2 linked regions of the Macaca fascicularis genome follow. The protein of the gene in region 1 interacts with the protein of each later gene in a pairwise test. Links are inferred from orthologs where the notes say so. Each region holds a gene or a part of one and is shown in the gene's direction. Other genes may lie near its edges.

Evidence for each region. The genes of interacting proteins can lie anywhere in the genome.
Region 2: the proteins of NDEL1 (region 1) and protein AF-10 interact in a two-hybrid assay, tested with the Homo sapiens proteins (2 studies listed by BioGRID and IntAct). The link is inferred for Macaca fascicularis from reciprocal best matches to the Homo sapiens genes NDEL1 and MLLT10.

Annotation. Positions count from the first base shown.
Region 1 is NC_088390.1:8,522,488-8,528,673, forward strand, and holds part of NDEL1 (nuclear distribution protein nudE-like 1), read left to right. Parts: intron 1-423; coding exon 424-560; intron 561-2,590; coding exon 2,591-2,764; intron 2,765-6,186. UniProt on the Homo sapiens protein: Required for organization of the cellular microtubule array and microtubule anchoring at the centrosome. May regulate microtubule organization at least in part by targeting the microtubule severing protein KATNA1 to the centrosome.
Region 2 is NC_088383.1:22,545,511-22,551,696, forward strand, and holds part of protein AF-10, read left to right. Parts: intron 1-1,904; coding exon 1,905-2,093; intron 2,094-2,511; coding exon 2,512-2,600; intron 2,601-2,730; coding exon 2,731-3,092; intron 3,093-4,128; coding exon 4,129-4,225; intron 4,226-5,443; exon of another isoform or gene 5,444-5,531; intron 5,532-6,186. UniProt on the Homo sapiens protein: Probably involved in transcriptional regulation. In vitro or as fusion protein with KMT2A/MLL1 has transactivation activity. Binds to cruciform DNA.

The DNA of each region.
Region 1 (6,186 bases):
CTTTTGATTTAGTTCTAGGAAGTCAGCGTGAATAGGCCTTAGGTTCCCTGACTTGGGACTTAATGTTTTAAACAAACTCTTACATATATTACAAGTTTTGAAAAGTTTTCTTTCTGAAAATGTATAAACTTAATTGTATTGTGTTCAAAACCCAGTGGAGATATAAATAGTGTAACAAACAGCCTTTCCGTAGGGAACATTAAGGAATAGGTGGGAATTTAAGAGAATATATTGCATAGATTACCCAAATGGTAGAGACACTAAGTGCCAGCAGTGGTCAAGAAGGGGCAGGATCATCTTCTTTGAATGGGACCAGGCCGGCTAGGTCAGGAAATGTCATGAGATAAACTGACAGTTTCCTTTTGTACTATCTGTTTGCACATGTTATTTATTTAATTCATGTACTCTAATTTTTCTTTTTAGGGCAACAATAGTTTCACTGGAAGACTTTGAACAAAGGCTAAATCAGGCCATTGAACGAAATGCATTTTTAGAAAGTGAACTTGATGAAAAGGAATCTTTGTTGGTCTCTGTACAGAGGTTAAAGGATGAAGCAAGAGGTAAAATTTATGACTTAAAGAATACAATTGACCCTTGAACAATATGGGTTTGAATTGTATGTGTCCACTTATACTCTGATTTTTTTCAACCAAACACGGATTGAAAATACAGTATTCATGCCCTTCAAAACCCTGTATATGGAGGGCGGGCTTTTCGTATATACGGGCCGACTGTGGGACTTCAGTATGCGCCAATTTTGGTGTAGGTGGGGGTCCTGGAACCAATCCCCATGTATACTGAGGGACAACTGTGTTTGTCCTCCCTTACCTTACTGTCCCTATGCCAGAAGAAGCTTAGAGTCAACTTTTTTTTGAGGCATAGTCTCACACTTTCGCCCAGGCTGGAGTGCAATGGTGCATTCTTGGCTCACTGCAAACTCCGCCTCCCAGGTTCAAATGATTCTCCTACCTCAGCCTCTTGAGTAGCTAGGATTACAAGTGCCCACCACCACACCCAGCTGATTTTTGTATTTTTAGTAGAGATGGGGTTTCACCATGTTGGTCAGGCTGGTCTCGAACTCCTGACCTCGTGATCTGGCCACCTTGGCCTCCCAAAGTGCTGGGATTACAGACGTGAGCCACCACGCCTGGCTCCATCTGGCTAAGTAAAAAAATTTTTTTTTGTGGAGATGGTCTCAGTATGTTGGTCAGGCTGGTCTTGAATCCTTGGCCTTAAGTGATCCTTCTGGTTCTGTCTCCCAAAATGTTGGGATTATAGGTGTGAGCCACTGTGCCTGGCTTCTTAACCATTTTAAAGTGTACACTCCAGTAGTGTTAAGTATAGTCAAATTGTTGTGTAAACAAATTTTTAGAAGTTTTTCATCTTGCAAAACTGAAACTATACCTTTTGAATAGCGACTACCCATTTTCCCTTCCCTTCAGCCCCTGGCAACCACAGTTCTACTTTCTATGATACCTCATGTAAGGGAAATTATACTGTATTTGTGACTGGTTTATTTTACTTAGCATAATGTCCTCAAGGTTAATCCATGTGTAGTATGTGACAAAATTTCCTTCTTTAAGGCTGAATAATATTCCATTGTATGTATTCATTTTCTTTATCTGTTCATCTGTGGGTGGACATCGAGTTGCTCCCATCTCTTGCTATTGCAAATGATGCCGCTGGGAACATGGGTGTGCAAATACCTCTTTGAGATCCTGTTTTGAATTCTTTTGGATACATGCCCAAAAGGGGGATGACTTTGTTCCTTTTTTAACATAAGCAAATATTCTGTAGGTTAAATTGCATAATCGGAAAAGATAACATTAATTTTGGGTTAAAAACTTGATATTGGCTGGGTGTGATGGCTCACGCCTGTAATCCCAGAACTTTGGGAGACTGAGGCTGGCAGATCATTTGAGGTTAGGAGTTCGAGACCAGCCTGACCAACATAGTGAAACCCTGTCTCTACTAAAAATAGAAAAAAAATTAGCCAGGTGTGGTGGTGTGCCCCTGTAATCCCAGTTACTTGGGAGGCTGAGGCAGGAGAATCTCTTCAACCCAGGAGGTGGAGGTTGCAGTGAGCCGAGATTGTGTCACTGCACTGTAGCCTGGGCGACAGAGCAAGAAGAATGACAAATATTTAAACCACTCCGAATACTTTTCTAAAACTAAATATTTCATAGTAATAATAGTTAATGCCAACTCATTTAAAATTACAAAAATGCACTTAGTTGATTTTGCAATAACCCCAAAACTACAGCATTTGAAAATAAAAGCAAATGAGTTGGGAAGAATATTTACTTTTGTGTGAATTGTACTGTGGACTCTGCACTGTTACTTTTTGCATACGAGCATAAGTAATTTCTCTCAGATTGTAACATTTTTAAATTCTAAAAGATCATTTAGACAGTAGTTTTGCCATTTTTATTCCCCCTAGAAATAAAGTTGTTAATAATTAAATAGGAAATTCGTTTTTGAGAAATAGTAATTTAGGAAGAAGATCTTTATGACATTTTAGATGTCACTTTTCTTGATATATTTGCTCCCTCTAGTGAATATTCCTGCCCTTGTTTGGAATATTTTACAGATTTAAGGCAAGAACTAGCAGTTCGGGAAAGACAACAGGAAGTAACTAGAAAGTCGGCTCCTAGCTCTCCAACTCTGGACTGTGAAAAGATGGACTCCGCCGTCCAAGCTTCACTCTCTTTGCCAGCTACCCCCGTTGGCAAAGGAACGGAGAACACTTTTCCATCACCGAAAGGTTTGTAATGTCTTTTCTTTTTGAGGCCATGTGTTAGATGATCAGCTTAAGGGGGTTTGTTGCTGAAGGCGGTTGCTAAGGTTTAAAGAGTAATTTTAGTTTAAAAGTTGGTGAAGTCTAGTGCTATGTGAAACAGAAGAAGGAATTGTTTTCCTAGGCCACTCATACATAGGAAACAGTGAAATGATGGCTACATTTAAGATGAGATTTTTAAAAGTTAAAGGTTTTTAGGGAAAATTTATTTTTTGATGATAGCAATAGATTTTGTGATTATAGCAGTACGTTTAGGTAGAAAATTTTAAAAACACAGAAAAAAAAAAGAAAATAAAAATCATGTTATCTTACCACTTACAGGCATCCACCATTAACATTTTGAGTTTTTTTTTCTATTGTGTGCTTGTGTGTGTTTGTGCACATCTCTTTGTCACATACAGATTTGGGGATCATATTTAAATACAGTTTTATTTCTTCCTTTTGCCACTTTCCATGTCCTGAGAGACCTGAGGCCTTTCTACATAGAATGTACAGAGAATCATTAAGTTGCCTTTCAGACTCATGTAAGACCAGCTTGGGTAGACATGCCCATTCTGTTACATGCTTCAGGAGCTGCCATTTTCAAAAGCATCATTCGGAGTAATTGATGATTTGCACATACAGAATACTCACATTGCCATCGCCAGTGCGTTTTTTTAAATCCAGATAAGCAGAAAAACCATCTAGTAGCCACTAGATAGAACCTTACAATAGAATCCTAAAGCTCTCAATTGAGATTTGTTTAGATTTTGCAGCTCGCAGTTCATATTTCGGCTACTCTCATCCCCCCATGCTTTTTTTTTTTCCACCCTATATTGAAGCTGTCATCCCACCCTTTTTAAAATATGGGATTTTATCTTTCAGAATGCTGTGTGGGCAACTAGTACAGTGAGCTCTGTATGTCTGTGCTACTCAGTATATTATCACCAGCCCATGTGGCTATTTAAATGTATATTAAAATGAAATAAAATATAAAATTAAGTTTCTTGGTCACATTAACCACATTTCATGTGCTCAGTAGCCCTTGAGTAGATAATTCAACTTGTCTTTGCCTTGTTACGAGATGATATCAGATAAAGTATGTGCAGGTGCTATATGGTCATAAGGTGTTACTGATTGCACCAGTATGTGCCAGGTTTACTGCTGAGGACAAAGGGCAGGCAGTAGATTATTAGCAGTCACCAGGAGCCCTCATGGTCAGTTTTTCAGACTAGCCACTTGTGTATTCGAAGATTTCCCAATTACATCTGAGGACTAACAGTTTTAGTTTTATATTACTGATTAGAATTATGCAGATCTGAAAATCCTTTAGTTGAAGACTCATCAGAATAGTGAAAAGCCTCAGTTGAGGTGACACCACAGGTGGTGCACATTTTTTTTTAATAGCCCGTTAAGAATTTTCGTTCAGGGACTTGGGGAGTCAACAGGACATGGAGCCTACTCTGACACAGCATGAGATGTGCCAACTGTATGGCAGTAGTATTTGCTTAATAGATATCTTTTTAGTCTGGAACCAATAGCATGAATTTTCACAGGCTAACCTAAAAGCTGCTGTGTACTAGATCACTGCAATTTCATTACAAGAAAGCACGGAATTGGTAGGGCGCAGTGGCTCACGCCTATAATTCCAGCACTTTGGGAGGCTGAGGTGGACGGATCACTAGGTCAGGAGATCGAGACCATCCTGGCTAACACGGTGAAACCCCGTCTCTACTAAAAATACAAAACATTAGCCGGCCGTGGTGGCGGGAGTTTGTAGTCCCAGCTGCTCGGGAGGCTGAGGCAGGAGAATGGCGTGAACCTGGGAGGCGGAGCTTGCAATGAGCCAAGATTGCGCCACTGCACTCCAGCCTGGGCGACAGAGCAAGACTCTGTCTCAAAAAAAAAAAGCACAGAATTGTGAGCAGCAGCAGGTGGTCAGAGAAATCGGTGAGATCTTAGAGCTGATCTTTCTGAAGTGGTCTGTCTTTAATTGTATTTTATTTTTTACAATGTTTCTTTTCCTTTTTTTTTTTTCTTGAGATGGAGTTTTGCTTTTTTTTGCCCAGGCTAGAGTACAATGGTGCGATCTCAGCTCATTGCAACCTCCACCTCCTGGGTTCAAGCGATTTTCCTGCCTCGGCCTCCCAAGTAGCTGGGATTACAGGCACCCTCCACCACACCCAGCTAATTTTGTATTTTTAGTGGAGATGGGGTTTCACTGTGTTGGTCAGGCCAGTCTCAAAGTCCTGACCTCGGGTGATCCACCCACCTCGGCCTCCCAAAGTGCTGAGATTACAGGTGTGAGCCACTGTGCCTGGCTTACAATGTTTGTTTCTAAAAAGCATTTAATGCACCTTACCATAAAAGCACAGGTTTAATAACACCTAAAATATAAAACTCGAATAGGGAAAAATGAGATCTAGAAATCCCTGCCAAGAACAGTACAGCAGTGTTTTATAGCACATCGAGCACCTATTATATGTCATGCATTTTTCTAGATGCTGGGAGCGCAGTGGTAAGACAAAGCCCCTACCTGCAATGAGATTGCATTCTAGAGGAGAAGAAGGATAAGAAACAACAAAAACCCCACTCAAGTATTCTCGTTGCTGATTAGCACTCTGTGGAAAAGAAACATAAAAAATAATAGCTAACCTTTATTGAGTACTTACTATGTGCATTTTTAAAGTACGTTAACTAATTTAAACTTCACAACAACTTTATGATGAGGTAGTTGTTATTTATCCCCTTTTACATATGGGTAACTTACCCAGTGGCTGAACTGGATTTGTATACAGTAGTTCAGCTCAAGAACCCTTAATCATGATGTCATATTATGTCTTAAAAATTAAGAAATGTGCATGACTGAAAACCTTACTGAGTGTGGAAGATGTGGGTAAATATCATGGTAAATACCATGATTCTGAATGGGAAGACTGAATTTTCTTACAATAACCATTCTCCCCAAGTCAATCTATAATTTCAACTTCTAATAAAAAGCCTAACAGGATTTTGAAAATTGGTATGTTGATATTAAAATTATTCTGGAATAGTAAATGTGCAAGAACGGCCGAGAAAAGTTTGAAATAGGCTCATAACAAGAAGGACCTTTGCCTTTTGAGATATCAAAATATATTTTAACATTATAATAATTAAAGTAGCATACTTCTGATAGAATAGGCTAATAATTCAATGGAACTGAAATATATTCATATATTTAGGGAATTTAGTTAATAGTTATAGTGCCGTTTCAGATGAGATGAGTTTTCCCTAAATGATACTAGGACAATTGGCTATCCATTTAGAGGAAAAAAATTAGATGTGTATCTTATAGACACTATAATTTCTAGGTGAATTAAATGATCTAAATGTAAAAAAAAAAAAAAAGAAAAATACTAAGAGAAAGTATG
Region 2 (6,186 bases), on another chromosome or scaffold:
GTATAATCTTGGGCATGTTTTTTAAAGTTCTTTAGTCTCCTATTTTTACCATTGGGAATAATAATGCACCCATATCAGAGGGTTATTGTGAGGATTAAATGACATGAAAAATATTAGGACCACTGCCTGGCTCATATATAGCATTGTCTCGGTGCTTACCATGATTATACATATCGGTACTTTGTGTCTCCACTGTACTTTGTTCTTACCAGTTTACTAAAATATATGAGCACTGTCTTCTCTTAGCCTAATTGTTTGAAGAAAACGTTGCTCACCTCTGGAAAACTTACTTTAAAAAATACATATAGTCGGCCGGGCGCAGTGGCTCACGTCTGTGATCCTAGCACTTTGGGAGGCCGAGATGGGTGGATCACGTCAGGAGATCGAGACCATCCTGGCTAACACGGTGAAACCCCGTCTCTACTAAAAATACAAAAAAAAATTAGCCGGGCATGGTGGCGGGCGCCTGTAGTCCCAGCTACACGGGAGGCTGAGGCAGGAGAATGGCGTGAACCCAGGGGATGCCGAGATCGCGCCACTGCACTCCAGCCTGGGCGACAGAGCGAGACTCCGTCTCTAGAAAAAAACAAACAAAAAAAACATATAGTCAAGTATGGCCGGCTAGCTTCTTCATAATTTGGAGGAAGACTAATAATTACTTAATTAAATCTATAATTAATATATATTATGCTTATCATCTGTTGGATTATAGAGCATGTACTATATATCTATATTTCAGTATCTTCACCATTTTAAGTATTAGGGCCATGGGTGTAAAATGCAGAGTTAAAATAGGTGGTGGTTAGCTGGAGATGTGGCCTTGTCTTAATTTTAGGGAAAAATAGGTGATTTTCGTCATTTTGGAGTATAAACTTTTGCTGCTTCATTTTATTGAAACATTTTGCTTATTGTTGGCTAAGTGCCATAAATTGGTATTTTGTGAATGGTAACCTGACAAAAAATGGTAATTGTGAGGAAATTTCATGCCGGGCTAATCCTTTAAACACGATAGCTGGAGGATAGGTTTAGCTTAGTCTTATTGCATCTCATTTGGGCCCACTAAGATCTCTTTGTGGGATCTTGGAGGGAAGGGATAAAAGCTAAATCCTTGGGAAATGGCCAGATGTGTCTGTACCAGAGGAGTTGTATCTTCTGAAGGCCCTGAGGTCATGTTAAACAAATACAACTTTTTAGTATGTGATGGACACTTCAAAAATCTTAACAGTAACACTCTGTGTTGTTAGTTGGGAGGTCCGAGTTGTGGAAGGAATTGAAGTACCTGAGGTGATGGGGGCCAGACCAAAAGCCAGCCTGTTCACAGGGGATGCGCCTTTCTCCAGGACTGGAGACGTGGCTGGGCGCACACATAGCGCTCCCTGCTGGGTGACCTGCAGAGCAACATGCTGAGCAGCTGGGATTAGGGGCTTCCTGCCAGGAAGTCTGATGGCAGCACTTCGTTTAAATGGAACAACAAACAAAAACATGTGCTTGTTATTTTGGTAAAGGGTATTGGTGCGATCCTTAACCATTCTATATATGACTTCAATGAAAAATAGTGACAGGCTCTTGAATTTTTAATAGGCTTTTATTTTGACAAAAATAAAATGTCATCACTTTTCACTGAGAATGGAAAATTACCTGATGCTGGTGTGTGTGTTTTGGTATGTGGCAACAAAGTTTCCAGAAGGTACATCCAGGAACACTTTGCCTTTGTGCTTATAAAAATACATAGATAGGAAATGTAATCCCACATACAAATTTAGGAACAAAACTTAATCATTTAGAAACACTTTACAGAATTTCTACTGTTCTATTGTAACTTATTTCTAAGGTTACTGGCACTGTGTAAAATACTTAGTCTCATGTGTGTACTTGTTATTAAAAACTATCCAAATGTGTGCTAGTTTTAGGAATGCTGAAGTCATTACACCAACTTCAAGTTGAAAACCGAAGATTAGAGGAACAAATTAAAAACTTGACTGCCAAAAAGGAACGGCTTCAGTTATTGAATGCACAGCTTTCAGTGCCTTTTCCAACAATAACAGCAAATCCTAGTCCGTCTCATCAAATACACACATTTTCAGCACAGACTGGTAAGTGTGAAAATATTTATTTTGTATGTAAAGAAAATAGGCTTTCAATGTTATTTGTATTATAAGTGAGTAATAATTGGTCACCAGTTATATGAAGATGTAGAAAAGGAATGATAGGTCGTTTTTCAAGGGCATAAAGAATCCTGTTAAGTGATCAACTTGAATTTACTCTAACTTCCTTAGTCCATAATATAATGGTAACATTTACTTAAATGTCTAATGATCTCATTATTGATTTAAAGTGATGGTATTCAATATAGATTTTTTTTCCTGTTTAAGTCAGTTAGGAATAGCAAGACTTGATATTTAAGTGGTTTTGATATGGGCTTCAGCATAAGCTTTTAAATAAGCCTTTAATCTTACACATAATGTAATTTAATAGGGTAAATAGGTTTCTTTTTGTCTTTTATTATTCTAGCTCCTACTACTGATTCCTTGAACAGCAGTAAGAGCCCTCATATAGGAAACAGCTTTTTACCTGATAATTCTCTTCCTGTATTAAATCAGGTAATTTTTGTGTGGTTATTTTCATCTGTGTGATTTACTTGTAAATAATAGTATATTATGTCAAATGGTTTTAAATTATTTTAAACAGTTTTGCTGTGTTCTTTCAATTTAGTTTCTCTTCTTACGCTAGGACTTAACCTCCAGTGGACAAAGCACCAGCAGCTCATCAGCTCTTTCTACCCCACCTCCTGCTGGGCAGAGTCCGGCTCAACAAGGCTCAGGAGTGAGTGGAGTTCAGCAGGTCAATGGTGTGACAGTGGGGGCACTAGCTAGTGGAATGCAGCCTGTAACTTCCACCATTCCTGCCGTGTCTGCAGTGGGTGGAATAATTGGAGCTTTGCCAGGTAACCAACTGGCAATTAATGGCATTGTAGGAGCTTTAAATGGGGTTATGCAGACTCCTGTCACAATGTCCCAGAACCCTACCCCTCTCACTCACACAACTGTACCACCTAATGCAACACATCCAATGCCAGCTACACTGACTAACAGGTAAGAAACTTAAGTATGTTTTGGGTTTTTTAGTGTAACTAACGGAGTACCAGTGTTGTCTATGCCTTAGATTGGGGCTTTCAATGTGTTTCTTTGTAGATATACCTTAAGAAGTCTGCCAAAAATTTTAAGTATATTATACACAGAGTACATTTATTTTTGAAACTTAGATTTAAATGAATTCACTTATAGTGACAGCATTAAATATGTTTTGTGCTGAAAATTAGTCTTAATCTGTGATGTCTATTTTTAAATAATAGTTTTTCTTATTTGTATATTGAATTCCTGTATCAAATTCTGAAGAAAGGTAATATAGTGGAGATAACATGAATATTAGTTTCTTAAAATGTATGTAATATTTTTAATATTCTAATCAAAGATTTTGGTATAGGATAAAGGTCATTTATTTATCTGAATTCCCAGGAAGTGAGACTCATTGGTTTCACTGTACTGGAACTACATTTGAATGCTTGTTCAAAACTAGGGGACTAAAGCTATGTTGTTATTAAACATACTATGTTGTTATTAAACATACTTTTGGGGGAATAAATACTTTTAAATGGATTTGCAGTGGGTACTAGAAAGCTGTTTCCTCTAGCTCTCTTCATTGGTGTTTAGTTTTACCATTGGGACCATTAGAAAAGGATAAGTCAAATCAGTAGTATGTTTGGATTCTTTGTTTCAAATATGTGTTTACTTAGTGTGAGTTAAATTATCTTTGAATAATTAAAGATAAATTATTACATATGCCTGTTAGAAACACATGTAAATTTCTATTCCATAAAATAAGGTAGGGCCTATTTGTTTTATAATAAAAAGATTTCTTGACAATGTGAATTCTTGTTTAGCTGTACACATACATATATATATATACACACACACACATAATTTGTACATAATTGTTTTCAAAGTGTTTGGATTAAAAATTGTACTTAAGTTATTAAACATCAAATTGAAAAGTTGTCTTTCATGTTTAAACTTCTAAAAATGCGTTAGAGGTGTGTAGTAAAAAGTAAGAATTGTAATCATTTTTCAGTGCCTCAGGACTAGGATTACTTTCTGACCAGCAAAGACAATTACTTATTCATCAACAGCAGTTTCAGCAGTTGTTAAATTCTCAACAGCTCACACCAGTAAGTTCTTTCTTTTGATAATATTTTATTAGGAGCATGTGTTCTAAGCTGTAATATTCAGTGTGGGTATAGATTTCTCCTTGTTAAATAACATTATTGAATGCATACTCCAAAAAGTTTTTCTTGCCATGTGGTATACAGGCTGTGATACCTGCAGTGATGTCACATTCACTCCTGAACTTAAAAGTGACAGGGCACGTGGCATGGTGCTTCCATAGGCTCTGGTAACACAGTGCCGAATGAGATGTGGTGTGTGTTTTCCCGGAGCTTCATTTTGATACAAGAGATGGATGGACACGATGAACGCTTTTTGGTTCTGATAAATGCTGAGGAGAACAAGGAAGTGGAATAAGGGGGGAAGAGCATAGGGAACCGAGGACCATTTTATATAGGATGGCCCTGCCTCTGCAAGGGGTGACTTTTGAGCACAGACTGACCTAAGAGCTCAGGGAGTACGCCATAGAGAGAAAGCATGTTGGAGGTAAAGGGGCAACTGCTGTCAAAGGCCTGGGCATGCTTGTGTGTGGAAGAGGAGGCAGCAGCAGTGTGGTAAGGGTGGGAGAGGTCAGAGCCAAGCAGGGAGTCTCAGATGATTGCATACAACCTTTCTTGGCTGTGGCAAGAAATTTGGACTTCATCTTGAATACGATGAAAAGCCACTGGCGATTTTTTAAAAAATTTATTACGGAGAATTTCAAGTGTACCAAAAGTAGAGCGGAGAGCACCCTGAAGACCTGTGTAGTCCTCCTCCTCTCACCCGGCACTGACAGTCTCAGTTTTGTTTATCTTATTTCATTCTCCATTTTTTTCAGGATTAAGAATTGGAGGGTTTTGAACAGAATAGTGAAATAATGATTTACATTTTGAAGGATTCGTTTTGCTGCTATATGAAGAATAGTCTGTGTGTATTATAGGGTGTGGGGGAGTGAAGACAGGCAAAAGTGGAAACAGGGAGGGAGTGACCCAGGCAGGAGACGTAGGTGTTAAAATAGTATGGGCTATGTATTGAAAACTGCCTGGAATTGTGGTATATATAGTTATATTTTTGAGATGGAGTTTTGCTCTGTCACCCAGGCTGGAATGCCGTGGCACAATCTGGGCTCCCTGCAACCTCCATCTCCTGGGCTCAAGTGATTATCCTGCCTCAGCCTCCTGAGTAGCTGAGACTACAGGCATGTCCCACCATGCCTGGCTAATTTTTTTTTTTTTTTTTTGTAGACAGGGTTTCACCATGTTGCCCAGGCTGGTCTTGAACTCATGACCTCAAGTGATCTGCCCTTAGCCTTCCAGAGTGCTGGAATTACAGGTGTGAGCCACTGTGCCTAGCCCAGATGTTTTGAAGATAGAACCAACAAGACTTGTTTGCTGGACATACAAGAGAAAGAAGAATTCTGAATGGTTGGATAGTGACTTTTACTGAGATGTGGAAGAACAGAATCCAGCCAGTTTTGGAGAGAAAAATAGGTGTCATGGACACACTAAGTTTGAAATCCCTTTAGATGTGCAAGTCAAGTGGAGATAAGACAGTTGCATAGTAGGTGTCTGGAGTCCCAGGCAAAGATGCAGTTAGAGATAGAAATCTGGGGTTAGTGCTGCACAGGTGATGAGAGCCATGAGATTTGATGCAGACTCCTAGAGCATGAAGATTGAGTCCTGGACACCCTAGAAAAGAATAAGCCAGTAAAGAAAGGCTATTGAGAAACAGTGGCCAGTGAGCCTAGACAAGGACACTGTGGCATCTTAGGGGCCAGGTGAAGGAAATGTTTCCAGAAAGGGAGGAGTCAACTGTGTAAAATGCTTCTGTGGTAGGGTAAGAAAGAATTGACCAACCGGGCGTGGTGGTGCATACCTGTGATACCAGTTAACTGGGGGGCTGAGGTGGGAGGATCACTGGAGCCCAGGAGGTTGAGGCTGCAGTGAGCTGTAATCATGCCACTGCACCTCAGCCTGGGTGGCAGGAA